Linked DNA regions of Stegostoma tigrinum. The protein of the gene in region 1 interacts with the protein of each later gene in a biochemical or structural test. Links are inferred from orthologs where the notes say so. Each region holds a gene or a part of one and is shown in the gene's direction. Other genes may lie near its edges. The genes, in order: 5-hydroxytryptamine receptor 2A-like, amyloid-beta A4 precursor protein-binding family A member 1-like and lin7c.

What was found.
Region 2: the proteins of 5-hydroxytryptamine receptor 2A-like (region 1) and amyloid-beta A4 precursor protein-binding family A member 1-like form a complex in vitro, tested with the Homo sapiens proteins (2 studies listed by BioGRID and IntAct, with this or other methods). The link is inferred for Stegostoma tigrinum from reciprocal best matches to the Homo sapiens genes HTR2C and APBA1.
Region 3: the proteins of 5-hydroxytryptamine receptor 2A-like (region 1) and lin7c form a complex in vitro, tested with the Homo sapiens proteins (2 studies listed by BioGRID and IntAct, with this or other methods). The link is inferred for Stegostoma tigrinum from reciprocal best matches to the Homo sapiens genes HTR2C and LIN7C.

Annotation. Positions count from the first base shown.
Region 1 is NC_081368.1:62,023,068-62,033,751, reverse strand, and holds the start of 5-hydroxytryptamine receptor 2A-like, read left to right. Parts: upstream 1-5,442; 5' UTR 5,443-5,651; coding exon 5,652-5,952; intron 5,953-10,684. UniProt on the Homo sapiens protein: G-protein coupled receptor for 5-hydroxytryptamine (serotonin).
Region 2 is NC_081356.1:28,370,871-28,381,453, reverse strand, and holds the start of amyloid-beta A4 precursor protein-binding family A member 1-like, read left to right. Parts: upstream 1-6,538; 5' UTR 6,539-6,711; intron 6,712-10,583. UniProt on the Homo sapiens protein: Putative function in synaptic vesicle exocytosis by binding to Munc18-1, an essential component of the synaptic vesicle exocytotic machinery. May modulate processing of the amyloid-beta precursor protein (APP) and hence formation of APP-beta.
Region 3 is NC_081370.1:53,124,943-53,136,202, reverse strand, and holds the start of lin7c (protein lin-7 homolog C), read left to right. Parts: upstream 1-6,294; 5' UTR 6,295-6,372; coding exon 6,373-6,409; intron 6,410-9,918; coding exon 9,919-10,037; intron 10,038-10,604; coding exon 10,605-10,676; intron 10,677-11,260. UniProt on the Homo sapiens protein: Plays a role in establishing and maintaining the asymmetric distribution of channels and receptors at the plasma membrane of polarized cells.

The DNA of each region.
Region 1 (10,684 bases):
ATTTGAGCTAGTTCAGGTGGGTGGTAAGGTGTTGAGGTATTCCCAGGGAGTGATTAGGCTGTACCGATGTCATGAGGAATTAGTGGTGTGGGCAGTTGGGAGAATAAGCACAAGTGAGAGAAGATGGTGCAGGCAATAGTAAGAGTTACAGAGCATGAAAGTTGGTGGGAGGTGTGAGCCATAGCAGAAAGATGGATTAATTGATTTATTGATTTATTGCCACATGTACTGAATACAGTGAAAAGCTTTGTTTACGTGCATTATAGACAGATCACAGCAAGCAAAGGAAGTACAGATCAAAAAGACTTAAAGGCATATATGTCACATTAGTTGAGTCTGGAGTCCATTCAACAGTCTGATAATGGACAGACAGAAGCTGTTCCTGAACCTACTCGTGCACGTGTTCATGCTTCTATATCTTCTGCCTGATGGAAGAGATTATAGGAGATCATTACCAGGGTGTGATGGGTCTTTGATGATGTTGGCCGCCCTTCTGCAGCAGTGAGCCGTGTAATTACAGTCCATGGATGGAAGGTTGGCTTCTGTGATGGTCTGGCCTGTGCACACAACCTCCTGTAGTTTCTTACCGTCCTGGACTGAGCAGTTGCCATACCAGGCCATTATGCACCCAGACAGTTTTCTTTCAATGGTGCGACTGTAGACATTGGTGAGGACCTTGTGAACATGCCAAAGTCCACAAGTGTGAGGCAGCAGGGAGAAGATGGTAGCACTTGCACTGACACAGCAGAGCAGATCATGCAGCTTCTATGACATTGCTTTCCAATGTTCCAGATGGTGGAGATCATACTGACCCTTCTCCTTGACTTGGACCTCTAAGTCCCTGTCCTGGAATAATGGCGTCACCTACCCCTTCTCCAATGCATCCATAGTCTACCCTTGACCGAGCGGGGCAATTTCAGAAAGCCAGCACTTATCTGGATGCACAGCAGCCTTTTGGAGATGGTGCAGATGCAAGCAATGACATCTTTCAGCATAGATCTGCTGAATGTCGAGTTGCCCTGGGAGTGCCATGTGGTAAGATGGGGAAGAACTGGACGTTAAAAATGCTGTAGAAAAGGAGTAGGTACTTAATGAGATGAGTTTGGTAAGATAACAGCAAGAAAACCCGTTAGGTCTCACAATGGATTTCCCTGAAAAAAGATTGATGCAACGCAAACGTAACTAAAAAATGTAAGATTCAGCCCATTTCTCTGGCTAAAGGCAAGCCAGCGTTTTCAAAATGGTTTGCATAACTTCCTTGCTTTTGTGTTCTAAAGTCATCCCATTTAGTTCAGCTGCCGTTCCTCATTCTGTCTACAAAAATGCATTGCTTCACACTTCTCTGCATGTATCTACCACTTTAACCAATCTACCCACATCCTACTGAAGTCTGCTAATAGCGTCTTCACAGTTTCATTGTTTACTTATATCTCTGAGTTCTGTGTAATCTGCAAAATGTTCAATTATGCCCTACCTAACAAGTCCAGGTCATTAACAGATGCTAAAAATGGCAGGCGTTATAATACTGATCCATGTGGGACAGCATTGTACATTCCCTTTAAATCTGAAACTGCCTTTTACCACTATTTTCTGTTCATTAGACAAGTTTTTATTCACACTTCCAGTACCCCTTTAATTCCACAGCCTTCAATTTTGCTAATTACATTACATACTAATTATGTTCTATTCAGCTGCATTGCACTAACTTATAATTTGTTTTAAGTACGTACAGATACTTAACAAATGCTTTGTTACAGCAATAAAATAAATGCCAAGTAATTAATTTAAATTACCAAGAGTTATAATGTTCATTTAACAAAAAGATGAATAGGGACTTTACAAAGGAACAATGGGACATCATACCCTTTGCTTTGAAGTCTTGTTCCATCCTAAAATTTTGGGTGCGGACGCTCAACACATTGTTAAAGATCAGTAACGTACATAGGGTAAGGGAACAAAAAGAAAATTAATCTGGAAATTAAAAATATTACCCAAGCATTGACAAGCACATAGTGCAGAAGAAATTTACAGCTTGGGTGCAACTCTCTGTCACAAGAGCAGCAGGATAGGAGATCTGGTCCTGGTTTGCATCCTATAGATAGAGGCATCCAGTTTTATAGCATGGAAATAGGCCTTTTGGCCCATTGTGTTCATGCAGATCATCAAACATCTAGCTATTTCAATCCCATTTTCCAGCTCCTGGTTCTGTAGCCTTATTTGCAATGACATTTCAAGTTCTCATCCGAACATTTCTGGAATGAGTTAACCATCCCCAGTTCTACAACCCTTTCAGGTGACGTATTCCAAGTACCCACAGGTTTTTGGTTAAAAAGAAATTTCAAATTCCCTCTCGCCCTTCTATTGCTCACCTTAAAACTGTGCCCCTTTGTCATAGGTTAATGGAGTACTACAGCATAGAAACTGGCCCAAACTGGCCAACGCTGACCATGGCACCCACTCAGCTAGTCCCAATTGCCCGCATTTGGCCCATATCCCTCTAAACCCTTCCCTTCCATGTACCTGTTCAAATGTTTTTTTTTTTTCGTTATTGACCCCACTGTTGAGAGGAAAAGTTTCTTCCTATCTACTGTGTCTATACCCTTGGGAACATTGTATACCTCGATCAGAACACCTTTCAGCCTTCCCTGCTCTGAGGAGAACAACATCAGGCTATCTAATCTTTCTTCATAGCTGACTCTTTCTAGCCTGGGCATTGTCCAGGTGGCTCTCCTCTCTAATGTAGTCATATCTTTCCTATTGTGTAGTGACCAGAATGCATACAGTACTCCAGCTGTTGCATAACTGACATTATATTCATCTTCATCAGAACTTCTTAGTTCTTGTATCCCATAGCTTGATTCATAAAAGCAGCAATCCCATATGCCTTCTAAACTACATGGTCTGTGCTTTTACTGCCTTCAAGGATCTACGGGTATGCACACCAAGATGTTCTATGTTCTAAGATCCCTCTGGTTCTTTGTACTTCCCAGGGCTCTACCACTCCTCATGTTAGCTCTCCCAAAACACATCATCTCACGTAGAGCTGGATGAACACGGCAGGCCAAGCAGCACTAGAGGAGCAAGAAAGCTGAAGTTTCAGGTCTAGACCCTTCTTCAGAGCAAGCTGCTTCTCTCTTCAAGTCTGCTGCAGCAGAGTCACTCACCAACCTGGGTATATTGAAGGCACAGGGTTCTCATCTGGTCAAGTCAGTCCTGCAGGCAAAAGCAACCATCTGTGATGCACTATCAGTGACATCAAAGTTTAATGTTGCCTGCAGCTCTTCTGCCAGACAGTTGGTGCATCACAGAAGGTATGCTGTCTTCTAGACCCCTGCTTCCCAATAGGCCAACAAACCTGCAGTTCAACAGCTAACTGCAGCAGGAGAGACAGCTGTGCTTTTTATAACATTCCTGGCCTCTCTCATTTGCAAGACATAGCCAAATACTAAGGGAGTTTATTACAGTAATGGGCAAATGACACTTGAACCCATCTCTACTAGTATTGGCTGTAGTTCATGTGATAGAAATTGCTGCCACAAACAGTTTGCCTTTAACAATTATTATTCTTAGGATATGAACATTGCTCAAAAGATCAGCATTTGTGGCCCATGAGCATTTGCTCTTCAATTAGTTGTGGTGGACCTTGTTCTTTAACTTGGAACTTGATTTACATTTTGCAAAATGCAGTCCACTTGCTTGATGTTCTGCGATGATGTGTTCATGGAAGGACTATCACACAATCAAGTAGAACTGTTCTTCAGTGAAAAAGTGATTCCTGATTTTAAGACCAAGTCACCTCATTTTCAATTCGATATTACGGAATTAGTTTTCCTGTATCAATCAACTTGATCCTTCTAATACTTGAAAGAGCACCCATCAGATGGCCTCTCAGTCCATGACACTCAAGTCACATTTGTACAGCCCAGCCTTGTTGTTCAACCTCCATAAACAGGAATCATTTTGATGAATCTGTGTGACAAATTTCCAAGGTTAGTGCACACTTCTTGAGGTCTAAAACTTAATGCGGCATCCCATGTATAGCCTAATTAAGACTTTACAACTTCCTTCTCTTTGTAATCCACACAGAGATTCACATCATAGCCAACATTCTATTAGGCTTTTAAACTTCTCTTTATACCTTCTTTAAATTAATTCATGGTAGGAGAATGTTGCTGGCTATGCCAGCATTTGTTGCTCCTCTTTAACTTGTTTTCAACTCATTCACTGGCAGGGCCAACATTTACTGCCCATTCCTAGTTGCTCTTCAGAAATTGCCCATCAGCTGTCATCTTTGACTGTTGGATGACATTAAGCTAGTTGTTAGAACTGCACTCATCCAGGGAAGTGGGGTATTTTCCATCACACTCCTAGCTGGTGCCTAAAAGCTGGCTAAAAGCTTTGTGCAGCTAGATGAATTACACACCACAGAATTCTCAACCTCTTTCTACCATGTTTAAAAAGATTTTTGCAGCCGAATCCACACATACTCTTGTTGACCGACATGTTAAATCGGTTCAGTGGTATTGACATTGTGAAGCAATTTTCTGGTTGAGAAAGCAAATGACATTCCACATTGGGCGCAAAATTATGTTTGTCGTGTTTTCATCTTGTACAAGCCTCAGCTGGCAATGTTAAAACATTAAAAAGAATACACCATAAGCTCGGCACATAATTAAAATATCTTATCATGAGTAATTTGGAACATACTGAGTTAATGTTTCCCTTTTGTTCTGTGTGAGGTAGTAATGGATAAAACAGAATTTAATGAACTCATGAAAAAGATAATTATCAGGACAACGGAGATGAAAAATACATCAGCGTTGGCACTTCAGTAAATTTCTTGCCAATGTGCATTGATATTTTTGGCAGCGATTGTGACAAATTGTCAATCCTTCTGCCATTTACTGAAACCTGGCTTCACAGGCAACTCAAATGAATGAACAAATGTAGAAGAATAGTAGTTGCATAGGTAGGAGATGTATTCTTACATTTTTTGCAAGGACATGGGGCACTGTTCATTGAATGTTGAATGCAGGTAGGAATGCCAAGTTTTGATTGAATTAATATTTATAATAAAGTGTTGAATTGAATAACAACACAATAACCTTGTAATTGTGATTCTTTTCAGAATTGGAGTCATTCAGCACTGGAAGAACATCTTGCTTAGATGTTAATGAGTTGATTGTAAGAAGAAGAGACTGAGAAACAAAAATACATATCTGAGAAGAAAATAAAATTTGAGAAAATGGGATGACAACATAAGCCACTTGAGGAGCTTGACATCATTTGTGATGATATTGTGGTTGCTTCTGAAAGAGGTGTGAAACAGGAAAATCTCTCACTTTGCATTCAGTAACCCAGGTGAAAACATTGAGAACCCTACTGTTACAGGCAGTTTATCATTACTCATTTTGTCAGATACAAAAATGCTTGAACGCTTAAAATACCTGACTTCTGAATTGAATGCTCACAGAACAATGGATGAATCATCTTCTCATGTGTCCAACTGCTCGAGGTAGTCTTCCCTTTCACATGGGTGTTTCACAAAAGTAAACGTCAGAGCATTTCATACCTTATTTATAGAAGAACTTCACAATTTTCCAGAATCGCTCCATTTTGTGTCTCTGCATTTCAATTGGTATAGTGTTCTCATGGCCAGATACATCAACAGTTCTCGTACCCTGAACCAGAATTTGACTACAGGGGAAATATTCAATGCCTCAGAGCCAGAGGACGTCGCTCATGCAAACATCTCAAAAAAGAACTGGCCAGCCTTGTTGATTCTCATCATCATCGTACTGACTGTGGGGGGCAATATATTAGTGATCATGGCAGTTTCACTGGAGAAAAAGCTACAGAATGCCACAAATTACTTCCTAATGTCGCTAGCCGTTGCCGATATGTTGGTGGGAATTTTAGTTATGCCAGTTTCGCTCATTACTATTCTCTACGGTAAGTTCTATTTGGGATTTTATGAACCTGGCAAAGGGTTTTGCAAAATATTCAACACATTTCAATGCATTGATCAGCTCATTTTGAATTGTGAATGGGTTGAGGCCTGTAAGATCATTAATTTCTTTCTCCAACAACAGAAGCTCTTAGTCAGATTTTAGTACTGTGCGCAAGAGGACAATTCATCATATTGTAATTCTCAGTAGTGAATGGATGTCACTACAGCAGTAATTGCACTGCTTGTGTATTTAAGATGAAGTATAATTATAATTTGATATTGCATATGCAATTTAGAGAATACAGTATCCTAATTAGAGATCAAAAGGCACAACATTGGAATAACTTTATTAACAAGCACTTGCAAATTTAGTAATTATGTTTATTAGGCCACTGAATTCAGCTCCATCGTGCCTGGAGTTTTAGAGCCACAGGTGTTGTTTATACAACAAAATGGCATTTACGGTGCCTAATTTCATTTCTGGTGCAAACCATGTTTGGCAACAGCTTAGTAAGAGAACTACCATACACTCAGGGGCAACCAGAGGAAGCTTGCAGAGATATCAGACTGTGGCATTATTCAACACATAGCACCAGTTAAATGGTAGTGCTATCACCCTGGATTTTAATATTCCAGGCAATACCATCTCTTAAACACTTACAGCAGAAGGAATGACCCCCATCAGCATTATTTAGAAGGGTATCAACTACTTATAATCTAATTGCTGACTGACTTTTCTGCTCTCTAAGAGAGTTTCAGTGCCACTTTTATGGAGTGATGCAGCACTTGCTGAAGGACTTAGTTCTGATTTCAAGGATTCTGTGCACACACACACACACACACACACACACACACACACACACACACACACACACACACACACACACACACACACACACACACACACACATACACACACACACACAGTCAAGTGTGGCTTCATTAGTGTGCATTCCATTTGACCAAGTGGCACAGGGGATAATAAGCTGATGGAAGAGGGTGAGGAGTGAGGAGTGGGAAAAGGACCCTCAGCAGGAGGCCACATCCACCTAGGATGTTCAGGAATCCAATCTCTTCCCTTATGTCCAACAAGAAAGAACACCAACACTGAAATCTGCCAGGAACTCAAACCAGAGTGAGGGCAGCATTACTAGTGGCTGTTGTAGGCATGCATAATTGCCTTGAGGCCCTTCTAAGTGGGAGTTGGTGTTCTCCTCATTCATCATCTACGATTGCAGAAGGGAAGTCAGTTCAGTTCTGCAATACAAGATAACTGAATGCTATCTTGCCAAAGATTTAAAAAAAACGCAGGTGGAACAAGTATACAATTTTGCAGGTTTCCCATTGGTGCAGGATGACATGGATTACAACAGTCCACTTTGCAGGTACTACTTAGAAACATGCAACAACTAAAAGGCACCCATTTTCTTAATGTCTAGCTAGTATGGGAGCATAGACAGTGTATCAGGCAGGCCAATGTTCAGTAGCCTGAGATCTGTAATGATGGCTTTATTTGCTGTGCCATTTGTGTGCACACCTCACACTGAGAAATCAGAGAGTAGCTGCTAGATGAAACAATTGGTAGTAGTTTAACCTGAGGGTCACTGCACCTCAGGCAAGGGGATGAGGTTGCATGGTAGTGCAGGAATTGAACCCATGCTACAGGTAATACTTTGTACACAAAACAGCCATCCAGGCTAATTGAACACCCTATACATCAATGATAATAAAATGTGAGGCTGGATGAACACAGCAGGCCAAGCAGCATCCCAGGAGCACAAAAGCTGAAGTTTCGGGCCTAGACCCTTCATCAGAGACCCTTCTCTGATGAAGGGTCTAGGCCCGAAACGTCAGCTTTTGTGCTCCTGAGATGCTGCTTGGCCTGCTGTGTTCATCCAGCCTCACATTTTATTATCTTGGATTCTCCAGCATCTGCAGTTCCCATTATCTCTGCCCCTATACATCAATGAAAGCTTTGTTGCTACATGATGTGTAATAGTGAAGACCATTCTGACCCGAAATGGTTTGAATGATGCAGTAACCACTGGCCTTGAAAACTCCCCACAAAGACTGAGCAAACCGTTCAGTGTGGACTTGACTTGTCCTAACATTTGTTCAAATTTAGTTCTGATTGGATGTCTTGAGGTGCAGCAGCAGTGACATCAGCAAGCAAATGGGCACCCAGTTAAGTTTCTCAATCATTTAGACCCCTTCAAATCTAATTAAAATGTGCAGATAGTAAACTAAACCAATGATTGTTTTAAGACTGAATTTAAAATAAAAAATGAATAGATTATTACATTTTTAGATACTTCTTTTTAATAATTACTGGGAAATTTGGAATTTCACAAACAAAATGTTCATTTTTCTGGGCCGGTAAAGGTTCAATATGTCTCAAACGGGATTAATTATTGACACAATACTGCAGATGCAACACTTGAGAACTTACAGGCATACATGTGTAGAATGCATCAAGATTAAATGGATTTGGAATGTGCAGGTTGAGAAGAAAATAACACATTATCAGTGATCATTAAGTTAGTACACATTTAAGGAGCCAGTTACAACTTATTTAATTCAGTGTGATTTTTTTTAGAGTTTTCACAGCATGACTAACAATATAAATTGGAAGTCAGAGTCATATAGTTATATATGGCGTGGAAACAGGCCATTGGGCCCATTTGTTCACACCAACCAGATTTCTTAAACTGAACTCATCCCAATTGTCTGCATTTGGTCCATATCTCTTTAAACTTTTCCTATCCTATGTGTCTGTCGAAATATCTTTTAAAGATTTTAATTGTACCCACTTCTGCCACTTCGTCTGGCCGCATGTTCCATACACACACAACCCTCTGTGTGAAAAGATCACCCCTTAGGTCCCTTTTGAACATTTTCTTATCAAATGCTGATTGCAACAGAGATTGCAGATTGTAGGAACCTCTACAATGCAGCCTGTGGAAGTGCATAGATTCACTGACAGCATTTTCTGGATTTCCATCTCATCTTGTGCATGTCTGATCTCATGAGGTTTGCTGTCAGATTAAATGGAGAAATGATGAAGATTGTTGACAATTTCATTGCTATTACTACAGGGGCCAGTGCCTCTGCTGCTTAAAGTGATCCGCAGGAGCCCTGCAGCTCTTAACAAATAAGTGTCAAGCTTCATGGTGACCTGCTGCACACTACATAGCCTCGCCGCTGGCTATATGGATGAGGACAGGCAGTAGAGTAGGATGACAAGGACGAGGAAGAGGAATAGAGGAAGCAACCGACATATCCCATCCCTGTTCGGCTGCCTGTGGATCAACTAGTTTAAGAAGGATGGCACTTGGACAGCTTTCTGAGCATTTTAACTTAAGGCCAATCTCCTGTTTCCTCCCTGTAATCTTGCACTTTGGTTCTATGGCCATACAACCCCGGCACTCAGAGTATCATACCTCATTCTGCCTCTGTTGCTGAGCATCACTTGGCTGCGAGGGAAAGACAAAAGATACCATGTTCCAAACCAAATGCATAAATAAACTGAGGCCATTTAGCGTACAAATCAACTGATTACCCTTCCACATTTGTGGACTGCTTCCATGTTCCTTGGTCATGCTGAGTGCTCCTATAGAGTGCCATGTCTGCCTGCAGCATGGCTATCTTTCAGTGGAGACCTCGAGTAGCCTGGCAATTAGAAGGTCAGCATAGGTGACAGGGCTGACTATCTGCTGACTGAGTGGCAGTGATGAGAGGGTGAAGGCTGTCTTGCTGGAAGAAGACAGCAGGTCTGTGCTACATGTGGTCACTCAATTTCCATATAATGGTATATCAGCAGTCCTAGTAATTTGTTGGAGAATGCATTACTGGACTGTCATGATGTGCTGCAATACCTTTAAACACTGATATCCACATCTGGGGTGTCAGCATTCTGAGTGTGGATAGTAATCAGCTGACTTCCACATGGGCCTGTGCTCAGAGTTGCTGATGTTTGTTGTGCACTGGAAGCTAAGATATTGCCCATCAGACGATATTCTGGTCGGAGCTTATGCATGTGCTGATAGAGTCAAGCACTAACTCCGTATTGGCGAGGATGAGCTCTGAGCTCTTCACAAAGCCCTGTACCCAATTGGGAGCTGGACTCCTCTGTGCACCTTGAAATGGATGACAGTCTTTCTAACCAACTTCCGAATACAGCAAGCATTTCATTGTACATACTCATCAGCGCTTTTCTGTTGGCTTCACTATTGATCTGAATCTTCTCGAGTATAATTAATATTAACAGGCATTCAACGAAGTACTGCTTAGAAGGTTTATCAAGAAAATTGAGGTTGATTGAAGTAAAGGAAAAGCAGTGGTATGAAGACAACAAGTGACAGGACACAAAGTGTGATGATGAGGGATGGATATTTTAGCGGCAGGGAGGAAGTTTCCAATTACTTCATCCAAGGGCCAGCTTTGGACCCATAAACTTTTTAATTTGTTATAAACAACCAAAATTTTGTTATAGTCAGGTGGTAGGAAGCAGTGCTATAAAGTTTGCAGATGGTATGAAACTCAGCAAATTAGTAAGTAAAGATAAGGATGGGTATTGAATTCAGGTTGACATAGAGATGATAGTCAAGTAGAAGCAGAGCAGATGGAGTTCAATGAAAGCACATGAAGTGGTCTATTTTAAGGACTAAATTGGAAGGACAGCATAATATAAATAGCACAATTTTGAAAAGTGTTGCTCAACAGAAGTGTCCATAA
Region 2 (10,583 bases), on another chromosome or scaffold:
CTTGCCCTCAAGAAGAATATAGTCAAGGACAGTGCCCTTATCCAAAAAGGGAGGGAAACAAAAAATAGAGAACCATCGGCCAGTTAGATTAATACTTCCCATTGGGAAATTGTCAGTTTATATTCAGGATGTAATAGCTGATCATTTAAAATACATAATTAGAGTCAAGCAGAATTTAGTCTGGCTTAAGGAGGGAAAATCATGCCTAACAAATTTGAGAATTCTTTGAGGAGTTATGAAGCAGTGTAGATAAAGGAGAACCAGTTGATGCAATATATTTGGATGTCCAAAAAGCCATTTGTCAAAGTTCCACATACAAGGCTATTAACTACATAGTAGCCCAGGTTACCATATTACCATGGATAGAGGACTTGCTTAGCAAAAACAGAAATTTGGTGTAATGTTAGCATTTTCAGGATTGCAACCTTCAACTAGTGGAATGTGGTAGGATCAGGGCCAGAGACAAAATTGCAATATGTATTAATGACTTGGCTCAGGAAAGTGAATGTACTATTGTCCAGTTTAAGAATGACATTAAAAATAGGTAGGAAGGCATCTCGTGAGGATGACACAAAGAGGGATAGAAACAGATTAATTGATTGGGCAAAAAAGCTTGGCAGATAGAATATAATGTGGGAAAATATGAGATTATATGCTTTGACAGGAAGGATTAATGAGATAAATATTATTTAAATAGAAAAAGACAGCAGGAGCTGCAGGACAGAGGGATTTGGGAGTTCTTGTGCATAAATCACAAAAAGCTGACATACAAATTCAGTAGGTCATTGGGAAGGCAAATGGAATGTTGGTGTTTATTTCAAAAGGAATGGAATATAAAAATAGGAAGTCTTGCTAAACTTAGACAGGATGCTGGTTAAACCACATCTAGAATACTGTGAACAGTTTTGGACCGCTTGTCTATGGAAATAAATGTTGCCATTGGAGGCAGTCCAGAGAAAATTCACAAGATTGATTCTAGGTATGGAGGGATCTTCTTATGATGAGAGGTTGAGTAGGTTGGGCCTGTAATCATCGGAGTTAAAAGTATGAAAGGCAACATTTTTTTAATCATATGCAATTCTTAACGGATTTGCAGAGAGGTTGTTTCCCATTGTGAGAGAGTCTGGGACCATAGGGAATAATCCCAGAGTAAGGGATTGCCTATTTAAAGACTGAGATGAAGAGGTTCTTTCCTCTTAAGGTAGTGGATCTGTGGAATTCTTTATTGCAGCAGGCTGTGGAGGCTGGATCACCAAGTATATTCAAGGCTCAGATTTTAAATGAGTAAGGGTATCAAGGGCTATTGGGGAAAGGACAAGAAAGTGAAATTGAGAATTATTAGATCAACCATGATCTCACCGAATGGTGAAGCAGACTCAATGGGCTGAATAACCGACTTCTCCTCCCGTGTCTGTGTAATTTTATACCATTGCAAGTGACTCAGGACAAAACAATTATGTTTTCAAGAAAGCGATAGGTATAACTCTTGTGGATAAATGGATCAAGAGATACAGGAGGAGTGTGGGATGAGATTATGGAGCTTGATGATATTGATACTTTGATGATATGGAGTGGTGGAGCAGGCTCAAGGGGTCAAATGGCCTATTGCTGCTCCTGTCTTCTCTGCTACTATGTGTCTCATGGTCATTACCTGGGTTGTAAGAGGGATGAGGGAGGTTGCTATGAATACACAGATGGATGTTGAAAACAACTTGATTCGAACAGAAGATGTTCCAGTGGAGCTTGAGGGATATTTACCCTAGATATTTATTGCAACTATTGTTGAGAGATTGAGGGAAGCAGCATGAATTAAAGATTTTGGGAATTTCTGATTGTGAATTTTGGCCCTTGTGAAAGAGGAGTTCCATGTTACAAACACATAATAACTTAATGCTCTGACCCTATCACACAATATACACAGAACTGAAACAAGCTATTCAGCCCAACTTGTCCGTGCTGGTTCTTAAGCTCCACAGAACCCTCCTCCGCCTTGACGTTATCTCACACTAGCAGCATTTCCTTCTATTCCTTTTTCCTTCACATGCTTATCTAATTTCCCCTTAAATACATCCATACTATCCACTTCATCCTCTCTATGTGACTCCAGGCAGGAGTCAAGACTGAAATTTAAATATTATTGGATTCTAGGAAAGGCAAAATATATGGAAACCAGGCAGGAAAATGGGTTTGAGGTGAAAGTGTAGCTACAATCATCTTGATTGATGGACCCTATGGTCCAATCTTGCCTCTGTTCCTTATGTTCTTATCCACATTCTCACCATGCTCTGGGTAAAAAAGGTGTGAATTCCCTGTTAATTACCACCGTACATTTATGACACTATATTTGGGCTCCAACAGCAGGAACATTTCAGAGAAACAGCCATCTCTTAAAAATTTTTAAATTGGCGAGTGAATTTGTAATGTAGTAGGAAATGCTCAAGGTTTTTGATATAATTATATTTTCTATATTCAGAATTCTACTCTCTGCAGAGTAGCTGAAAGACCAGATGTGTTTGGATTTATAGATTAACTGTGCAAATTCTCTAATTCAGTATGGTTGTAGGATTTTACCATGAAACAGGCTTCTTAACCATGTCAATCTCAATTAGTGCTGTGGCAAGCTGCCACTGTTTCAGTGCACTGTATCACAAGCCCAGTTGGTATTTAGCATTTAGAAGATGCTGTATTGACAAAAGCAAAGAGACTTAGGGTTTTGATGGAGTGGGAACATAGTTTCTTCTTGTGGGGGAACAGCATAAGTAGAAGTCACCCAGGCAAGACAATCATTAAGACGTCCAACAGAGAATACAGGTGAAACTTTTTCATTCAAAGAATGTGGAACTCGACCACAAGGATTGTTGAAGAGAATGGTACAGACGCATTTAGGAGGAAGTTGGACAATCACATGAGGAAGATGACTGGAGGGTTATGTGGATAGATTTAGATGAGGTAAGATGGGAGAAAGCTGGAGTAGAGCAAAAAAAACACCAGAACAGATTAGAGCCAAACAATCCTGTTTCTGAACCCTTTATTCTGTGTAATTTTATGTGTGCAATCATTCACAAACATGAAATAGTAAAAGTTGATATTTATTACGTGACCACAGAATTAGGTGGCAAGAGTTTTATCAAATGCTGGATAATAATTTATTTTGTGTCTTTAACACAATAGACTGTCCACACAGGTGTTTTTCAAAATTTGACACTGAGCTGCAGAAGGGCAGGAGACTGAAACGATCAAAGAGTTAGTTTCAAAAGGGGAATGAGAAATGGAGGTGAGGCTCAAGGGCAGAATTCCAGAGCTTAAGGCCTCAGCATTTGAAGGCAAGATTGCCCTGTTTAATACAAAAGGTATTACTATATTTTTTAAAATGTCGCTTATCAGTTTTTCTCCATTGCTACTTTTCCATTTAACCTCTGAACATAGATTCCACTTGTATCAGTTAACATTTTTAAGGACTATAACATAATTTTAAAATTACAACTGCTTCAAATGAGAGATAGGCAGTAACAAAACTGAAAGAAAGCAATTACAGAACAATGCATTTTCACTTTCTTCACAAAATATTTTGAACTAAACAAATGTGCTCATTCCCTGCTCTAGAATGTTTGGTATCAGAAACAAATGATTTCTGTACATTTAAACAAGAGAGAGAGACAAGCACATATCACAGATTGCTAAGCAGTTCTTCATAAAAAGGTTAAAATTAACATAATGCACTAAACTAACCAAATTACAGCCCTTTTGATGGCGGTTCTGCAGCAGTTATTTCACTGTCGACACAGGAGGTAGTTTCTCCTTAGGATCCCTGACACTGGGGTGTGTAGTATGGTGCTGAAGGATGGAGAAACTGCAGCTGCTACTGCAGAGCTGAGAGACATCACTCACTATAACCACATTAACCCGGAGAGGTGGAATACAGTGAAGCAGCTGCAATCCTATGCTTACTTTGATTCAGCAAGACCATGCAAAAAAGACAAGGTTCCTTACATTTTGTATTGCACGTTTCATACAAATGATAAATTCATCACAGCATTTTTCCTAGATTTCTTCCAATTTTACTAAATGGTGTAAATGTATATAACTCTGTAGTGTGTGAAATTTTCCAGAATGTAGAAAAAATGCTAGCACAAGGAGTAAGTGAAATGATTAGTGTAGATGCATTTAAGAAGACAAAAAACAAAGTTGCTGGTTAAAAAAAATTCAACAGGCCTGGCAGCATCTGTGGAGAGAAAGCAGAGTTAATGTTTTGGGTCCAATGACCCTTCCTCAGAACTTGCTGAGTTTTTTCTGCTGAGTTTTTCAGCAATTTCTGTTTTTGTTTCTGATTTCTAGCATCTTTTGGGTTATTCTGCATTTAAGGAGGAGGTGGATGATCACCAAGGAGAAAGGACTCGAGAGATTATGCTGACAAAGTGAGATGAAGAAGGAATAGATAAAGATCCATGTGGAGCATAAACACCAGCATAGACCTGTTGGGCTGAGTGGCTTGTTTGTTTGTGCAAAATATTATGTGAAACAAAAATTTTAGGTCTAAACCTCAAGGTTCTCTCAAGGTTTCTATGGTGCAATGGCCGTCACATTCACTGAATACGCAAAACATTCCCTGTTCACAACCAGGCAGAATCATCAGGCTAGCTTAGGGCTCAGTTAGCTGGATGGCTGGTTTCCCAATACAGAGTGACACCAACAGTGTGGGTTCATTTCCCACAGTATCTGTGGTTACCATAAAGGACTGCCCTTGTCTGAGGTTAAGTCACCACCAGTGGTCTCTCTATGGTGAGACAGTGGGACTATGGCAGCTTTACCTTTGTATCAGATTTGCAAATGACTCATAAGGACTGACAACATATCCCATTTCCTATTCAGACCCTGTGGCTACCCTTTAGTATCAGTCACTTTACCAGCCCAGTTAATACAACTGATGAGTTTTCTGTCTCTGCTCTGTCTTTAAATGTATGTAATTCATTGGCTTTAAAGCTCAGCAACATCCTGAGGTGGTGAACGGTGCTGTAGAAATGAAAGTCTCGATTTTCTTTCCTCTTTAATCCATATGCAGAAACTAGTTTTCAATTTAAACAAACTCCCCATGGCCATTCTGGAATCTAATGATAATCTTAGTTTGTCCTCAAGGAAAAGTGGCAGAGACCATAAAACCCTTACAATGACCTAGGAATTGCAGGCAGGGAGGGTGTGAGAGAGCTGCAAAGTGCAAATATTATTTCTCCATCCTGTTTCTGAGCACATTTCTACGGGGTTCCAGGAATCTAAATTTTACTGTGTGACATAGAATGCAGAATTGAACCTCATGCTGACATTAAACTTGTAATGTTACCATGTTAATCCCCCGTCATTGGGAAACTTGCAAGAACTGAAAGGTGACTGCAGTATCAAGAGCGGAGTATAATCTGAAGACAACAGTGATTGGTAGATGATGGAGATTAACCCTCAGTGTGGGAGTAACCCCTGGGTCTGACAATGACACATGAACTATGGACATTGACGGTGTAGAGCTGGATGAACACAGCAGGCCAAGCAGCATCAGAGGAGCAGGAAGGCTGGCATTTCGGGCCTAGACCCTTCTTCAGGGCCCGAAACATCAGCCTTCCTGCTCCTCCGATGCTGCTTGGCCTGCTGCTTCATCCAGCTCTACACCTTGTTATCTCAGATTCTCCAGCATCTGCAGTTCCTGCTATCTATGGAGATTGACTCCTGAATGACCTTTGCGGTAAATGGAGAATTACATCTGAATGTTGAAGTGACCCCTGGGGAGTGCAGAGCGAGCCCTGAGTGTGGGAAGGACCCCTTGAATGTGTCAGAGTGATCATTGGGGAATGGACAGTGACCATTTTGAGGGTGGAAAGTGATGTCTGGGTATGAGAATGACCTCCTTAGTGAGAGAGTGACTACTGGGGTGTGGTGGAGAATGACCTCTCGGTGTGAGAGTGACCACTGGGGCAGATGAAATATGAGCCCCTTCGTGAGAAAGTGACCTCTGATTGTGAGAATGACTACTGGCAGTGGTGGAGTATGATCCCCTTAGTGACAGAGTGACTCCTTAGTGAGAGAGTGACCATTGTGGTGACGAAGAGTGACCCCCTTAGTGAGAGAGTGACCATTATGAGGTGGACAGTGACCCCAATAGTGAGAGAGTGACTATTGTGGGGTGGACAGTGACCACCTTGGTGAAAGAGTGTCCATTGCGGGGGTGGAGGGTGACCCCCTTAGTGAGGGAGGAGCCCCTTAAGGAGAAAGTGGCCATTGTGGGGGTGAAGAGTGACCCCCATAGTGAGACAGTGACCCTCTTAGTGAGAGAGTGAACCTCTTAAGTGGCAGAGTGACCATTGTGGTGGTGGAATGGCCCTCTTAGTGAGAGAGTGACCACTGGCTTAAGAACAAACATCAGAAACATTTCCGTCTCCGAGCCTGCGCAGTAATGGACCTTACCGGGCCCGGCTCCGGCGCCTGCGCGTTGAGCACGGTCCTCGGTCCAGCAGCCGGCGACTGCGCGCAGGCGCACTTCGCCCTGCAGCGCCTTCGCACACCGGGGCTACTTCCTGCCTGAGTGCCTCTGCAAATCTGAGTGTGTCTCTGCAAGAACCACAGGGAGGATCAGCTGGCAGCTAGAGGGCTTTAAACAATTGCAAGAAAACGGGCAAAGTGCGCGCAATGCAATCACGTCCAGATCTTGAGGGGCTTTAGGAATCACAGGTATGTAGCAGCAGGCTTCTGGTTCCCAGTTTCATTTTTTTTTGCAAAACGCTTTTAGTCATTTGCAGAGTATTTTGCGACAAATGTAAAAAAGGTGGGAGAAAGGATGCAGAAACCCCCTGTACACTTTCATGTAAGAAAATAAACGCATCAAAATAACAGCACGCTTAAAGCAGAACAATCTAAGTGTATTTTTAACTTAGATATTATGCGTATGTTCCTCCAGTTATTTTTCTTATTCTGAATTGTTCATTGACTGGGACATCCAAGAGATGGTCCATCTTATTGTGAAGATGCTATTCTCGCCCTTCAGTTTATTGAGGATCATGCTGCAGTAACGCTTTGTTGTGTTGATATGGCATCTTTCCTGAGAATGTACAGTAGCGGGCATATGGCAGACTGCGAGCAGAAAACCTCTCTAAGATCTTGTTTTTGCGTTTCATTCGTTGGTGTGTTTACAAGTATGTGATAACAGGGAGTTGGGGAGAGCAAACCTACGTTGCATTCTCTTAAGCCAGAGGGTGGTGAATCTATCTTACAGCAACAAGGTATCATACATGATACCATTTAAGCCAACCTGTAAACTCACTATGAATTCTCCCAAGATCAAGCAGGAACAATTCCTCTGTTTTTAAAGGCTAAAATGCTTACATTATTTGGCTTGCAAATTGTAACTGTTTAGCAGCAATAACTCAAGCGATGATCTAAAAACACATCTCCTTATACATTTTTACCAGTTGTAGTAGCCATCGTTGCTGATGGAATGCCAGTTTTACCATTTCACATAACTTCACTCAGGTTAAAAAAATTAATACTGTATGTAGTTCACCATGCGTCCTATTGAATTTAGACCAAGTGTCTGAAGGACTTTTTATTCATTAGCCAATAATAACTTGAATGAGTCAGGAAGGTAAAAGATATCTGTACGATATGTGAATGATATAGTCCATGATAGTATACAGATTGAAAGCTGATGACCGATCTGTGGGAGATAAAGGATTTGAAATGTTCAACCCCGTCACTAGTGTCCACTTTTTTGCTAATAACAGATTCCATTCATTCAGTGAATGTTTGATTGAAGGAAGGACTTCTTCAGTAACATGCTGCTTCTTGTTGATGTGTGCAGACATGGGTCAGCTTCCAGATGTATACTTACAATACGCAGCTCTGCCTGGCTGTCTGTGATGTTAAACAGTTTGTTCACTATCCAGACTTGCATAAGCCACACTTTGGTGAAATACGAGAAGACTGAAAAGCGCCACAAATTCTGCTGCCTCATTATCAATACCACCCCTTCCCCAGTAAAAGCCTCCGTTTGAACTAATCTGTTGGCAGCTTTGCTGTCATTTTTGACTGTGAGCTGAGTTTCCGATCACATGTCCTGTGCATCATAAAGGTTGCTTGCTTGCACGAGGTCAGCTGTCCTGGCCCTGCTTCGGTCCATCTGCTGCGGAACCCCATGTTCTTTTCTTTTCCATCTTCATGTTCAACTATGTTATTGCTCTCCTGGAAAGCTCCCGGTTTTCCACTTTACGTAAGTGTCAGCTACGCTGGCCGCATCCTAACTCTCACTAAGTGTCTCTTGCCCTGCTGCTTGCTGACTGACATTGGCTCACTGGTCTCCAGAGCCTCAGGTTTAAACTTATCATCCTCGTGTTCAAATCACCTCACGTACTTGCCTATTCTGTGCCTACAATCTCCTCGAGCTTACCAATCCCCTGCTATGTGCATAATTCACACCAGACCCTGTTCACCCATAACTCCAGTCCTCATGGAAGCACTGGGAACTGGGAAGAGGCCATTCAGTCCTTTGAACCAGCTCTACCGTTTGCTAAGATCATATCTGATCATATACCTCAAAGTCGTCTTCATGTTCTAACTCTTTATCCCTTGATTCTCTTACTACTCAGCAGTTTATGCTTAAACAACACAGTAATTTTAAAATTCTCATCCTTGTTTTCTAATCCGTCCATCACCTTACCCCTCTGTGTCTCTGTAATGTCCTTCACTTGTACACTTCTTTGCAATATCTGTGCTCCTTCAATTCTGGCTTCTTGAACAGCCCCAATTTTATTTAATAATCATCACAGCATATGGTGGGAATTCCAATGCTCTGGAATTCCCTCCATAAATATCTCTACTTCTCTCTCTGTCTCTCTCTCTCTCTCCCCTCCTTCAAGGTATTCTCCACAACTAGCAGTGTACAGTCATCTGAAGCCAGACGTGCTGAGTAAATGATCCATCTGGATTTGCTCCCGAAATTACGTCATTACTGACTCCAGACTGTAACACAATGTAAACTGAGTTGGTTACCCAGCAAGGGCAAAGTACATATGGGAAACTACAAAGGCTGTGGGACCTGACACCATTTCAGTTGTGATAATAAATGCTTGTGTTCCAGAAATAGCTGTATTTCTAGCCAATACAGTCCAATACAAACATCGAACCAACAATGTGGAAAACAGCAGAGGTCTAATTCAGCCATTTCCAATCGCCCTATTAGTCTTCCCTCAATCATCAGCAAAGTAATGGAAAGTGCCATTAACTGTGCTATAAAGCGGTACAGCTTCAACAATGACCTTACTGTCACTCAGTTCAGGTTCTGTCAGGGCCTCTCAACTCCTGACCTCATTACAGTCTTGATTCAAACATGGACAAAGACCTGAATTCCTCAGGTGAGGTGAGAGTTACTGTCCTTGACATCAAGGTTGCATTTGACTGAGTGTGGCATCAAGGAGCCCTGGTAAAACTGGAAGCAGTGGGAATCAGGGAGCAAACACTCCATTTGTTGGAGTCATACTGACACAGAGAAAAATGGTGTGATTTTTGGAAGTCAGTCATCTCAGCTCCATGTCATCTCAGCAGGAGTTCCTTAGGGTGTGGTTCTATGCCCCTCCATCTTCAGTTGCTTCATCAAAAACCTGCCGCCCATTACGGGGCCAGCAGTGAGGATGTTTCCTGATGATCGCGCAATCTTCAGCACGATTCATGATTCCTCGGATGTTGAAGTGGCCCCTGTGTCCCTACGCAGCAAAACCTGGACATCATTGAGGCTTGGGATGATGAGTTGCAAATTTTATTTGCCCTACAAATTCAATAGAGTATCATTGCTGAATCTCCTGCTGTCAACATGCTGAGGGTTACCGTTGACCAGAAACTGAATTGGAAAGGCCATAGTAGGCCAGGGGCTAGTTATTCTGTGATAAGTAACTAACAACGGCTCAGTGGTTAGCTCTGCAGCCTCACAGCGCCACGGACCCGGGTTCGATTCCAGCTTCGGGGGACTGTCTGTGCGGAGTTTGCACGTTCTCCCTGTGTCTGCGTGCGTTTCCTCCGGGTGCTCCGGTTTCCTCCCACAGCCCAAAGATGTGCAGGCTAGGTGGATTGGCCATGCTAAATTGCCCGTAGTGTTCAGGGGTGTTTGGGTTTTAGGGAGATGGGTCTGGGTGGGATGCTGCAAGGGGCGATGTGGACTTGTTGGGCCGAAGGGCCTGTTTTCACACTGTCGGGAATCTAATCTAATGAAAAAAAAATCCCGATTCCCAAAGGACTGTCCATCAGCTACAAAGCACATATCATATCCCATGGGAGGATAACAAAAAAAATCTGTTATTTGTTCAGTGTCACATTTGCTTTGATAATGCTTTGACCTAGAATGTTTGCTACTTTAAAGGTGCTGTCCCAACATGGGCAAGTTCCTGAATGAAATTGTTGATGGTACGAATTAAGACGTACAAATAAGATAACAGAAAAGCTTTAAAACTAATTGGCTTTTGTACTTGGAGTGGAATTCTATTAATCACTCTCATCTATATTCTGTCAGCTGTGTCGGAAATCAGTAATACCAGTGTGGTGTTCACCAAGTCAAATTA
Region 3 (11,260 bases), on another chromosome or scaffold:
CCATATAAACAAAATATTGCTTAAGAAAAGATATGCTTCCAATGGTTTTCATTTCACATTCATCAGGATAGATGCAAGAATACCAAATTTCAAAGGGACGAACTGATGGCCAACAATTAATACTGCATGAGAAAAAGTGTGCTGATTGGTTGGCAATTAGTCTTTGATGGCTAAGGAATTGCATAGAGAACACTTCACGTATCAATTACCCCTAAGATTTTGCTAATATGTTAAAAAGGGTTGAGCCATCTCTTGTGGCCCAACTAAGTTCATTTTGCTTTGGTAAATTCACTTTTGGCCAAGTTTATTACCAGATTGTCTCTTTTTTATAAATGCATTCACAGAATGTGGGTGTCACTGGCTAGACCAGCGTTTTTTGACCATGCCTAATCACCCAGAGGGTGATCACATCTCTAAGCAACCACATTACTGTGGGTCTGGAGTCACAGATAAACCAGACCAGGTGAGGATGACAGTTTCCTTCCCTGAAGGACATTAGTGAACTGGATGGGTTTTTCCTGATAATCGACAATGGCTTCATGTTCGTCATTGGACTCTTAATTCCAGACTCTTTATTCCAGCATCTCTGCCATGGCAAGATCTGAACCCAAGACCCCAGAACATTACCTGGGTCTCTGGACTAGTAGTCTATTGATGACACCAATAAGTCATTGCCTTCCTATAATAAGCCATCAAACAATTCATTGATAATGGGAACTGCAGATGCTGGAGAATCCAAGATAATAAAATGTGAGGCTGGATGAACACAGCAGGCCCGGCAGCATCTCAGGAGTACAAAAGAGAGCCTCTGATGAAGGGTCTAGGCCTGAAACGTCAGCTTTTGTGCTCCTGAGATGCTGCTGGGCCTGCTGTGTTCATCCAGCCTCACATTTTATTATCAAACAATTCATTCTAGTTTTGTAAATGTTCTTCTCAGGTTTGACTGAACACAACCACATCCTCTCTCTCTCCTATATGCATTACATGACAAAGCTGCAGTGACCTTGTTAGATAATCATTGATTCATCGCTGATGCATTTTTCATTCTGAAAAGCTTAACTCTATAAAGATAACGTCCATCCAGCTTTATAAAAGCTGATACTTCTTTGGCTGTGTCAGTCAATGGAACTTACTGATATCCCTTTACAAAAACATTTTTCACTAATGAACTGTACTCGTCCAGTCCTCTCAATACAATCCTCTAATTGTGCCTTTGTTGCTACATTTTCACAGAGACAATCTTTACACAATGTGATCTGTTTGGTTTCAGCATTCAATTTCATGGTTATTTTTGTTTCAAATTAAGTGAAATATCTTTCAACTCCATCCTCTGCAAAATTTGGCTCTAAATATGAATTTCCATTTAAATCAATTCCCTCAGTAGAATCGTTATCATCCTCTAATCTACCTCTTCTTTCTTCCTTTACCCTGTTTCTTTAGTCAATTCATGTTGTGTGAGATCTCACTCTATTTTTTCCCTGCCTTGATCCTTGTTCCCTCTTGCCAATTCAAGCTTTCCTATTTCTACCTCATCTCTTTCCAGTTGTCGTCATTTTTCTTTCTATACTCTTTCCATTTATTATTTTTTCTTTCAAATCGACTTATTATATTGCTCCTTCTCTCCCTTAATTTCTTGAATTGAAGTTTTTCATTTCTAAGTGAATCTTACTGCATTTTAATGACCACGCATCACGTTCAGGTTTTGCTCCTTTTAATTTCAAGCAATGGGCAATCACTTTCAGAGTATCATCTTTATGATATCCTGTTCACATAGACACCCCAAGATGGCGGCATCAGCACATTGGGCAGTGTTCAGGCTCCTGAGCCAATCCGCTTTAGGCCGGCTACATCCTCCTCTTTCTCTTCTTTCTTATCCTTTCCTTTCTCTTTATTTTCTTTTCTTCACCTTCAGATGTCTGGGGGAAGCCGGAACAGTACTCAGCGGGTCATTGGCTGTGGCGGTGGAGGTGCTTGGTGCAAGGACTTTTGGCTGCAGTGGGCCCAGACTATGGACTCGTGAACTCAGCGGGCCATCGTCTGCAATGGTGGTGGTGCCCCAGTGCGGGGTCTCTTGGTGGCAGCAGGTCGCTATGGCAGAAACAGTACCCGGAATGGGGACTCCTGGCTGTGGTAGGCCTGCAGTACAGGGACTCCTTGAGGCCTGGGACACCTTGCAGAAGCTCTGAAGTTGTGTCTGGCGACACTTTGTACAGAAGATGTGCTCTCTTTATGTAATTTATCTTTATTCTTTTCGTAACTCAAAATGCTGCCGGATTGTAGCAACAAAACACTTCTCACTTTTTCTTTCTAGATATATGTGACAATAAATAACTAATTTATTTTATTTCCCCTACCTCCAGTTTATATGCCTACTTTCTTAGATTTGCCTAATCTCTAAAGATTTCAAATAATCCATTGTTTCATCTTCTATTCCCAAAGAAATTGTTGCAACTTTCAAAGCTATTTAAAAATTCTGCTCATTTATAATATGCTTCATGACAACTCTTCTGTTTCTATGCTCAGTGCCTCCGTGGTCTAATTTTTAAAGATTCACATAAAGCACTTAAATTTCAATATATCTGCTACTACAAGTAGCCACCACTATTTTATGGTTCCAGCTGATGGTAATATTAGACAAATCAGATCCCAGAGTTAGACCTGGCTTCATAGACCATAAGTTTGATTTTTCTTTCTCTCAAAAATCAGAAAGAAAGATTCATCCATTTTACTTCAGCAATACCCTTACAGGGACTCAAATCTCAGTGTAAGGTAACCCCAATTTTCATTCTAATGCTTCTTGCTCACTTGGAATGGCTTATAATCATTTTCTGTTTTTACAAGTTGCTGCATTTTCATTAAATGTCGTTTTCTTCAGATATATCTTTTCCAAAGACCTTTGAAACAAGCTGCTAACTCAGCTCACAATTAGTATTTACCATGGATTCCCTGATCTTTACATTCACAGCTTTTTGCATCTGGAGCTGTCTTCTTACCAACCTTTAAGAATCTTGAGACTTCTCCAAAGCCCTGGCTGCTTAGAAATTCATCAGAAAAGCACCTTTGCTGCTATAGATCTCTTCTGTCTGTATGCACCTGCTCTGACACCTTGTGTATTTGTCTCTGCATCTTAAAAAACAAGTCAACAAATTGTTATGATCGGAGCTGATGTTATTACTGGAGAAGTCAGATCCCAGATTGAAATCTGGCTTTATAGATCATATTTTAAGACCATAAGAAATAGGAACAGGAGCTGTTGAGGTTGCTCCATCATTCAGTAAGATCACGGCCAATCCAACATTCCTCACATCTGCTTTCCTACATTTTCCCCGTAACCCTTGATTCCCTGACTGCTCAAAAATCTATCTGTCTGAGCCTTAAATACACATAATGATTCTGCCCAGATAGCTCTCTGTGGCAAGGAGTTCCAGAGAAACACAGCCGCCTCAGAGAACACAAGTGCACAATGTTTAATATTTAGTTTAACAATAAAATAGAAGTTTATTGTGTAAAATAAAATAAAATAAAACAAAATAAGTCAAACTATTTATATATAACACCATTTTTAAAATTTTGAAACACACAGTAAAATACAATATTCCATCTATCTTAACACACTCCTTTCTGCAAAATGAGCACATGGAGAAAACGGCTGACAAAGTGTCTCTTTTTCAGCAATATCTAAGTCCCGTACTGTCAAACACCAGCTAATAACTTATTTTTGATGAATCTTCATAAAATTAGCCTTATTTCTTCTTGTCTGTACCAGACTATATCCCTTGTAAATTTTATTCCTGTGCTTGTGTGTGTGTTTATTTAATATCATATTTTCACTTTATTTCCTCAGGGTTAGTCGATAATAAAATCCTTTTCTTTAATTCAAGAAATTGTTGATAATTGGGTCTGTAATTGTATTACAAATTATGTAATAATAAATAGCTTTGTAATAAAAGCAGAATAAAAATATTTGTTGTGACTGACAGGGTTAAAAAGAGAGGACTTGAATGAGCCCATCTGATGACAGGCGGCTGATCGATATGGCTTTGTGCTCTTGTGAAATCGACAGCACAAATCATGAATTCCTTGTGAATGACATAGTGAGAAGCTACTTGTTAAAAATGTGGAGTTTTACTAACATTGCTACTATTCATTTTGACCATGGAATGATGGAACTCTCATATCCAGTTTCCAAATAGTTTTTGGCCTGTTTCTGAGCATTCACCTTCCATAATTCAATGGTTGTAACATAATTGGGGCAGCATGGGACTCAGTGGTTAGCACTGCTGCCTTACAGTGCCAGGAACCCAGGTTCAATTCCATCCTCTGGACATCTGTGCAATGCCACAGAAGTTCCAAGCCTGTTTCTGACCTAATTCCATAAGGAAAAACCACCCTGGACAATCAAAGAAAACATTATATTTTAAACAAAAACAGAAATTGCGAGAGAAACTTGTTTTTTTTAGTTATTTGTTTTGTTTACTATGATTTTAAAGCCAGGCTTTTTCTCCGCTCACTCTCGCACCACTGTAACACCATAAGACCATAAGACATAGGAGTGGAAGTAAGGCCATTCGGCCCATCGTGCCCACTCTCCCATTTAAATCATGGCTAATGGGCATTTCAACTCCACTTCCCCGCACTCTCCCCGTAGCCCTTGATTCCTTGTGAGATCAAGAATTTATTGATCTCTGCCTTGAAGAAGTCTAACGTCCCGGCCTCCACTGCACTCCGTGGCAATGAATTCCACAAGCCCACCACTCTCTGGCTGAAGAAATGTCTCCTCATTTCCATTTTAAATTTACCCCCTCTAATTCTAAGGCTGTGCCCATGGGTCCTAGTCTCCCCACCTAACGGAAACAACTTCCCAGTGTCCACCCCTTCTAAGCCATACATTATCTTTTAAGTTTCGACTAGATCTCCCCTTGACCTTCTTAACTCTAATGAATACAATCCCAGGATCCTTAGCCATTCATCATACATTAAGCCTACCATTCCAGGAATCATCCGTGTGAATCTCCGCTGGACACACTCCAGGGCTAGTATGTCCTTCCTGACGTGTGGGGCCCAAAATTGGACACAGCATTCTAAATGGGGCCTAACTAGAGCTTTATAAAGTTTCACTAGAGTTGCCACCAATATGTTTTGGTAAAAACCTAGACAGTGCCTTCAAGATAAACTTAGAAAAACATACAGTGCTTTAAAAAAAATCCCAAAAGAACTGCGGATGCCTTAAATTAGGAACAAAAACAAAGTTTGTGGAAAAGCTCAGCAGGTCTGGCAGCATGTGTGGAGGAGAAGACAGAGTTAACGTTTCCGGTCTGGTGACCCGAAGGGTTCTGAGGAAAGGTCACCGGACCTGAAACATGAACTCTGTTTTCTCCTCCACACATGCTGCCAGACCTACTGAGCTTTTCCAGCAACTTTGCTTTCGTTGCTGTGTATAGACCATTTTAATCTCAGCAATCCCTAGATATTTACATGATTATATTACCTAACTTGTCCTTGACATTGTGAAACAATACAAGTTGTTTTTCAGGACAATGTCATATGAGCAACTAAAACATACCACCACCCTTTTACAGCTATACTTTTACGTCGTGAAAAAACCTACACAAATGCAACACAACGATGACTCAATTTCCAAACCAAAATGGCGATATCTACCCATGCACACGCATGGACTGGGTCTGGTGCCAAATCCAATGATAAAATCATTCTATGCAGTTTTGGCATGATCACTGTGAGATGGAAGCAGATTTGGTTAATGGCAATAATACAGAAAAATTACAAAATCTAACATTTAAAGGCATAGATTTGCTCCAAATTTAACAAATAAACGTACAGGTAACAGAACAAAAACTGAAGTTGCTGGAAAATCTCAACTGGTCTGGTAGCATCTGTGCAGAATTCAGAGTTAACACTTAGGTCTAGTGAGCCTTCTTCAGAAGAAGGAGTTCTGAAGGGTCACAGGAGCCTAATCATTAATTCTGCTTTCTCTGCACAAAGGTGCTGAGATTACCCAGCAATTTATGTTTTTGTTTCCAGTATCTGCAGTTCTTTCGATTTATTTTTTATATATGCAACAGAGGCTTGTGAAAAAACAATCCTAGAGTTTAAACGGGAAACCGTAGAAACATAGATAGGACCCAAAAGAAAAGCTATATGTGGAAAAACACAGCAGTTGCAATCCGGGTGGCTCACTTGGTACGAAATGTGACCGAAGGTTGAGTTCAGGGCTCTGAGTGGGTTCAATGCGTCCTCCCAGCCTGCCGGTGGCGCTGTCGTTACCGGAGCGTAGCGACGAATAAAACGTTTGTGGCTCGTCTGGAGACGTCACTTCCGGAGTGTCCGTTTATTCTGTCGTTTTGTTGTGGAATGGCGTTGGTGATGGAGCCCATCAGACTGGACAGAGGTAGGCCTCCGCCCTCACTGTCCTTTCGCCAAGCTGCCATCTCGGGGTGGGGGAGAGTTCCGGTCACTGCGAAGGCATAAATCAAATTGAGTCGAACGAGCTATAAGGTGCCTGAGCCAGGCTGCTGGTACAAAGGTGGACCTTCTGGCTCCTGGGTTACCTAGACCCTTGGTTACGCCTCAGGAGTGTTTCTCAGAAAGGCTTTTGCAGCTGGAAGCTGGCGAGACAGGTTTTTGGGGAAGCAAGCTCTTCCTTCCTCAGGGAACCAGCACTACCTCCTCTTTCCCTCCCCTCCCCCAAACCAAGGGGTAAATGACAAGTCAGGCTTTTACAATTTTCAAATCGAACTGAGAGACTGGAGATCTGAAACAAGTAAAACCAGCAACTGTTGGAGAAACCCAGTTCTGAGGAAGGGTCACTGGACCCGAGATGTTAAGTCTGATTTTTTTTTTCTTCACTCATGCTGCCAGACCTGCTGAGCTTTTCCAGCAGCGTTGTTGATGTTGTTGTTGGAGAAACTCTCTAGGTCCGGCAGCATCTGTAGATAGAGAAAACAGACAACTAGTTCTGAAAGAGGGTCATGGGTCTTGAAATGTTAACCCTGTTTTATACTCCACTGATGCTACCAGACCTGTGGAATCTCTCCAACAATTTCTGTTTTGTTTGTTTAAAAATTCCCATGATTGTTTTCAAATCCCTCCATGCCATTCCCCCTCTGTGAACACCTCCACTTGCTTTTTTCTGCCCCCACCCTGAAAAAGTCTGAGATATTTGGACTCCGTAATTGTAGTCTCTTGTGCACACCTGATTGTAAATGGCTCAAGCGCCAGTGCCTTCAGATGCTAAGCTGCTAATTCCCTTCCTCAACCTCTCCATTCCCCATCCTTAAGGAAAAGGAACAAGTGTGACATCTTTGCTTAACAAATTCCTTAAAACCTTTTGCCTTTAACCAATGAACTTATGATTAACTCTCCTCATATCCTTTGGTTGCTCAATGTCAAATTTTATTTCATGCTGTTGTAAAGTATTTCAGGATGTGTTCAGATCTCAATGGTACTGCAGTTGTTGAATATCTGTTCAGAAAGGATTCTTGTCTAAAAAAAGTTCTTGCATTCAGGTTTTTTTAAAACTTCCACTGAGACAGACACTTAAGCTGTCTTTCTTAAAATTTGCAGCTTTGGTATTGCAACAGTCTGTCGGTGCACTGGACTTTATTTTAATGGAAAAAAGTAGTTTCTTTGGAGTAAAATTTAAGGTACAAAGTTGTAGCAGAAATATTGCTGATCATATCTGGTTTGTTTTTAGTGTAAAATTAGGAATGCATAGATCAGCAGGGAAGGAATTTTAAAACAGAATTGTAGATGCTGGAAATCTGAAACAAAAACAGTGCTGGAGAAACTCAGCAGGTTTGGCAGCACCTGTAGAGAGAAGGAAGGAAATTTGTTATCCTTACCTGGTCTGATCAAATCTCATACTGTACACACAGCAACATGGTTGACTCCTAACTGCCCTGTGAAATGGAAATTAATGATGGGCAATGCCCATATCCCATGAATAAATAATAAAAGTTGTATTTGTAAGTTAAATTTGGGGTGAACCTGTGTTTGTTCGACATGAAAGTTACAATAAAGTGGTTACTTTACACGGGGCAGAGGATGACTTTGCGGGCATGGCAACTTTCCGGAAGGAAACATTAATGTAATAGGGGAGAGTAGATTTTAAAATGTTCATTTTGTTCTGTAATTTTGTAAAGTTTGACTGAATTTGATGAACATCTTGGATTGTGAATCTGTAGAGTGGACGGGAACATCTATCAGACATACTGGCTTCAAGATGAGCTTTAAACTGACTGTCTAGAACCTTGAGACCCCATAATGTATTTCAGATGAGAGTTGGGAATTCTGTGTCCTGGGTAACGTTTGTCTGTAAATCAACATAATTAAGGCTGGCTATTTATGTTTCTATTCATGGCTCATTGCTATGCGCAAATTAGCAGATGTCTTTCTTATTTTGCTTCTCAAACTACTTAATTGGTTGTGAGGTGCCATGGGACAACAGGAGGATGTTAAAGCTGCTATATAAATCAAATTCTTTCTTTCTTTGATGCAGAAATACCATTTCATTATTTGAAATCAATTTGGCTGCAAGTGAGTGAGGAAGCAATGCCCCTGGTGTATTGTCTGTGCTAATTTAACCAAATGTAGGAAATGGGTGGACAGCTACTTCTAATTCCAAAAGGAGACTAATGGAATTAGGGTTAGCAAAAGAACTGGAAATAATCCCAATGGGGACAATAACCAGTTTGTTTCAGATTTTAAAATAAAGATTGCTAGAATAAAAAACTAAAAGTAGTGTCATAAAATTTGAAAGCACGCTTCATTTCCAAAATAATGTGTAGCAGTCACACTATTTTTCAGCGGCTTTGGAAGATGTGTACGTCATAACAACAACCAAGCACGGATACTGAAACACTGATTACTGTAGCAAATGGAGATTACTGTACTCTCGTTCATAAAGGTAGTTATCCACTGAATTGACAACAACAATAGTGTTGGTATTATTCTGGTAGTATTGACATGACCATACAATATAAAACTTGTGTATAAAGACATTTTCGACTGTCTGTCACCCAGACGTGTACTGTTTCACTACAATTGTTCATTGAAAAGTCAGACTTTTCTCATGAATCGCACATACACCCACAGAAAAAGCTTTTTTGCAGTAACCAAAATTCAGTTGCTTGAATCATTATTTTTGGACATGGTTAAAATGTAAATAATAATAAATTTATGTTAAACTCGAAATCAGAAGACACTCTCTTTAAACTTGTGGCTTTATTTTATGGTTGAATGGGCCGGTTAGCACAGTTGGATCGATGACTAGCATGTTCAAAACAAGTTCAGTTCCTGTTCTGACTTAGGTAGACTTGGGACCTGCTCCTTGCCTGCCCCATGCTGGTTGTAGAGTGATGCACCTCAAGCATCTAACCACTTGGCACATATCTCTACAAGAAAGAGACAACTACCTACAACCCCTTGTGGCTAATTAGCTCACTACCCACTTTTCAACTTACTTTGTACTTTGATCTGACAAAGGAATCATCAATTTTTTTTGGTTTTATAGCATGGAGCTAACATCGCATGAAGATAGGAAACATATCTTGCCTGTATTTTTTAAATGTATCTATAAATTTGAGGAATCATTTGTTTGAGATTGACAGTCAGCAAGCACTTCTGCATAAAAGCAGAATTTCAAACAGAAGTGCAAATCAAGTCTCCAGCTCTGAAAGTAGCAGAGGGAGGACCTTCAGATAGGGCCAGATGCCTGAAATTAAAACACTGGAACACTGACCAATAGAGGACAGCAAGATTTTCCGATTAGCACTATTGTGTGTGGATAAACTACCACAACTGAATAGGACAGGCTTTTGTTACGTATGTGAACTAATTGCAAAGAGTTGGTTTGGGCTGTGTATCTGACTGCATTTGAATTTGTGCTTGACTTTCCAGATGTTTCCCGGGCTATTGAACTGCTGGAGAAGTTGCAAAGGAGTGGAGAGGTGCCACCGCAGAAGCTGCAGGCTTTGCAAAGGGTACTTCAGAGTGAATTCTGCATTGCCGTGCGCGAAGTATGTCCCTGTACATTTTCCCCTCTATATGATGTAGAATAAAGTAAGAAAGCTGTTTAAAGACTATTGCACTTAATAATTACTTTTATGCAAAAATACAAGCAAACATTTGAGAAATATCATGTACTTTCAAAGGCTGTAAAATGGTTATGTCAGTCTAATGTAGAATAATCCAAATTGGTCTTAATTGTAGAATAGAATACTGGAATGTTCAGTGCTTTATGATTTTAAGATGATAGTTAAATGCTGAACTGCATAAAATAAAATGGTGTATGCAGATCTTAATATGAAAATATCTTTAATAAAAATTATCCCACCTCTCGCCACCATAAACAACAGATTCTTAAAACCTGGTCTTTTGAATACCATGATTACCTAGCTGGAATTTTCCCATTAAATCTAATCTAATCTATTGTTTTATTTTAACTTTTGAATATCCATTTTGCTTACAGCTGGTTTTGTCCAGTTCTTTTCTGCCAACTTGTTGGAAGGTTTATTGTGAATGAATGCTGTAAACCTGGAAATTAGTTAGCTCTCCAGTAGTAACATCCACTGTGTTGCCCACAGGTTTACGAGCATGTGTATGAAACTGTGGATATTAATAGTAGTCCAGAAGTGAGAGCCAATGCTACTGCTAAGGTAGGAAACTGTTGTAAATAAATTAATGGCTCATGTTATGTTTATTGACCTAAATTCCTCAGAATTACTTAATTGGACAATGCTTTATGGTAAGGAGACTTGCAGCAGAATATTTCTGAAAAGGCTGGCATTGCACAATTAGGCTGTAAAAGTACCACAACTTTTATGATGAATTAAATTTTATTGTATGAACTTCACTGTGTCCCTCCACTCTTATATCCCTCTGTAGTATTTTTCCCTGCAACCTCATTCATAATTTTACTTTAAATATATTTAGAGCAGGTAAACTTATGACATGATTTTGTTTTCTGTCAGCATGTGCTTTGCTTGGGTGTATGTTCAATGAGCTTCCACTTTTTAATACCAAATTGTATATCCCATTTACTCTTAAAAGTGGGGTCTGTTGAATGGCCAGGTTGGCAAGTTCAGCAGAAGTTTTTTTTCATCATGCCTTGCTGTCATTACCAGGATTCATATTTGGCACCGTGGTCATTTGAATCATTGGTTGAACTTCATTGTTGGTATAAAATTTCTAAAACTTTAGTTAAGCCAACACCATATTGTGATAAGGGACATGATTAGTT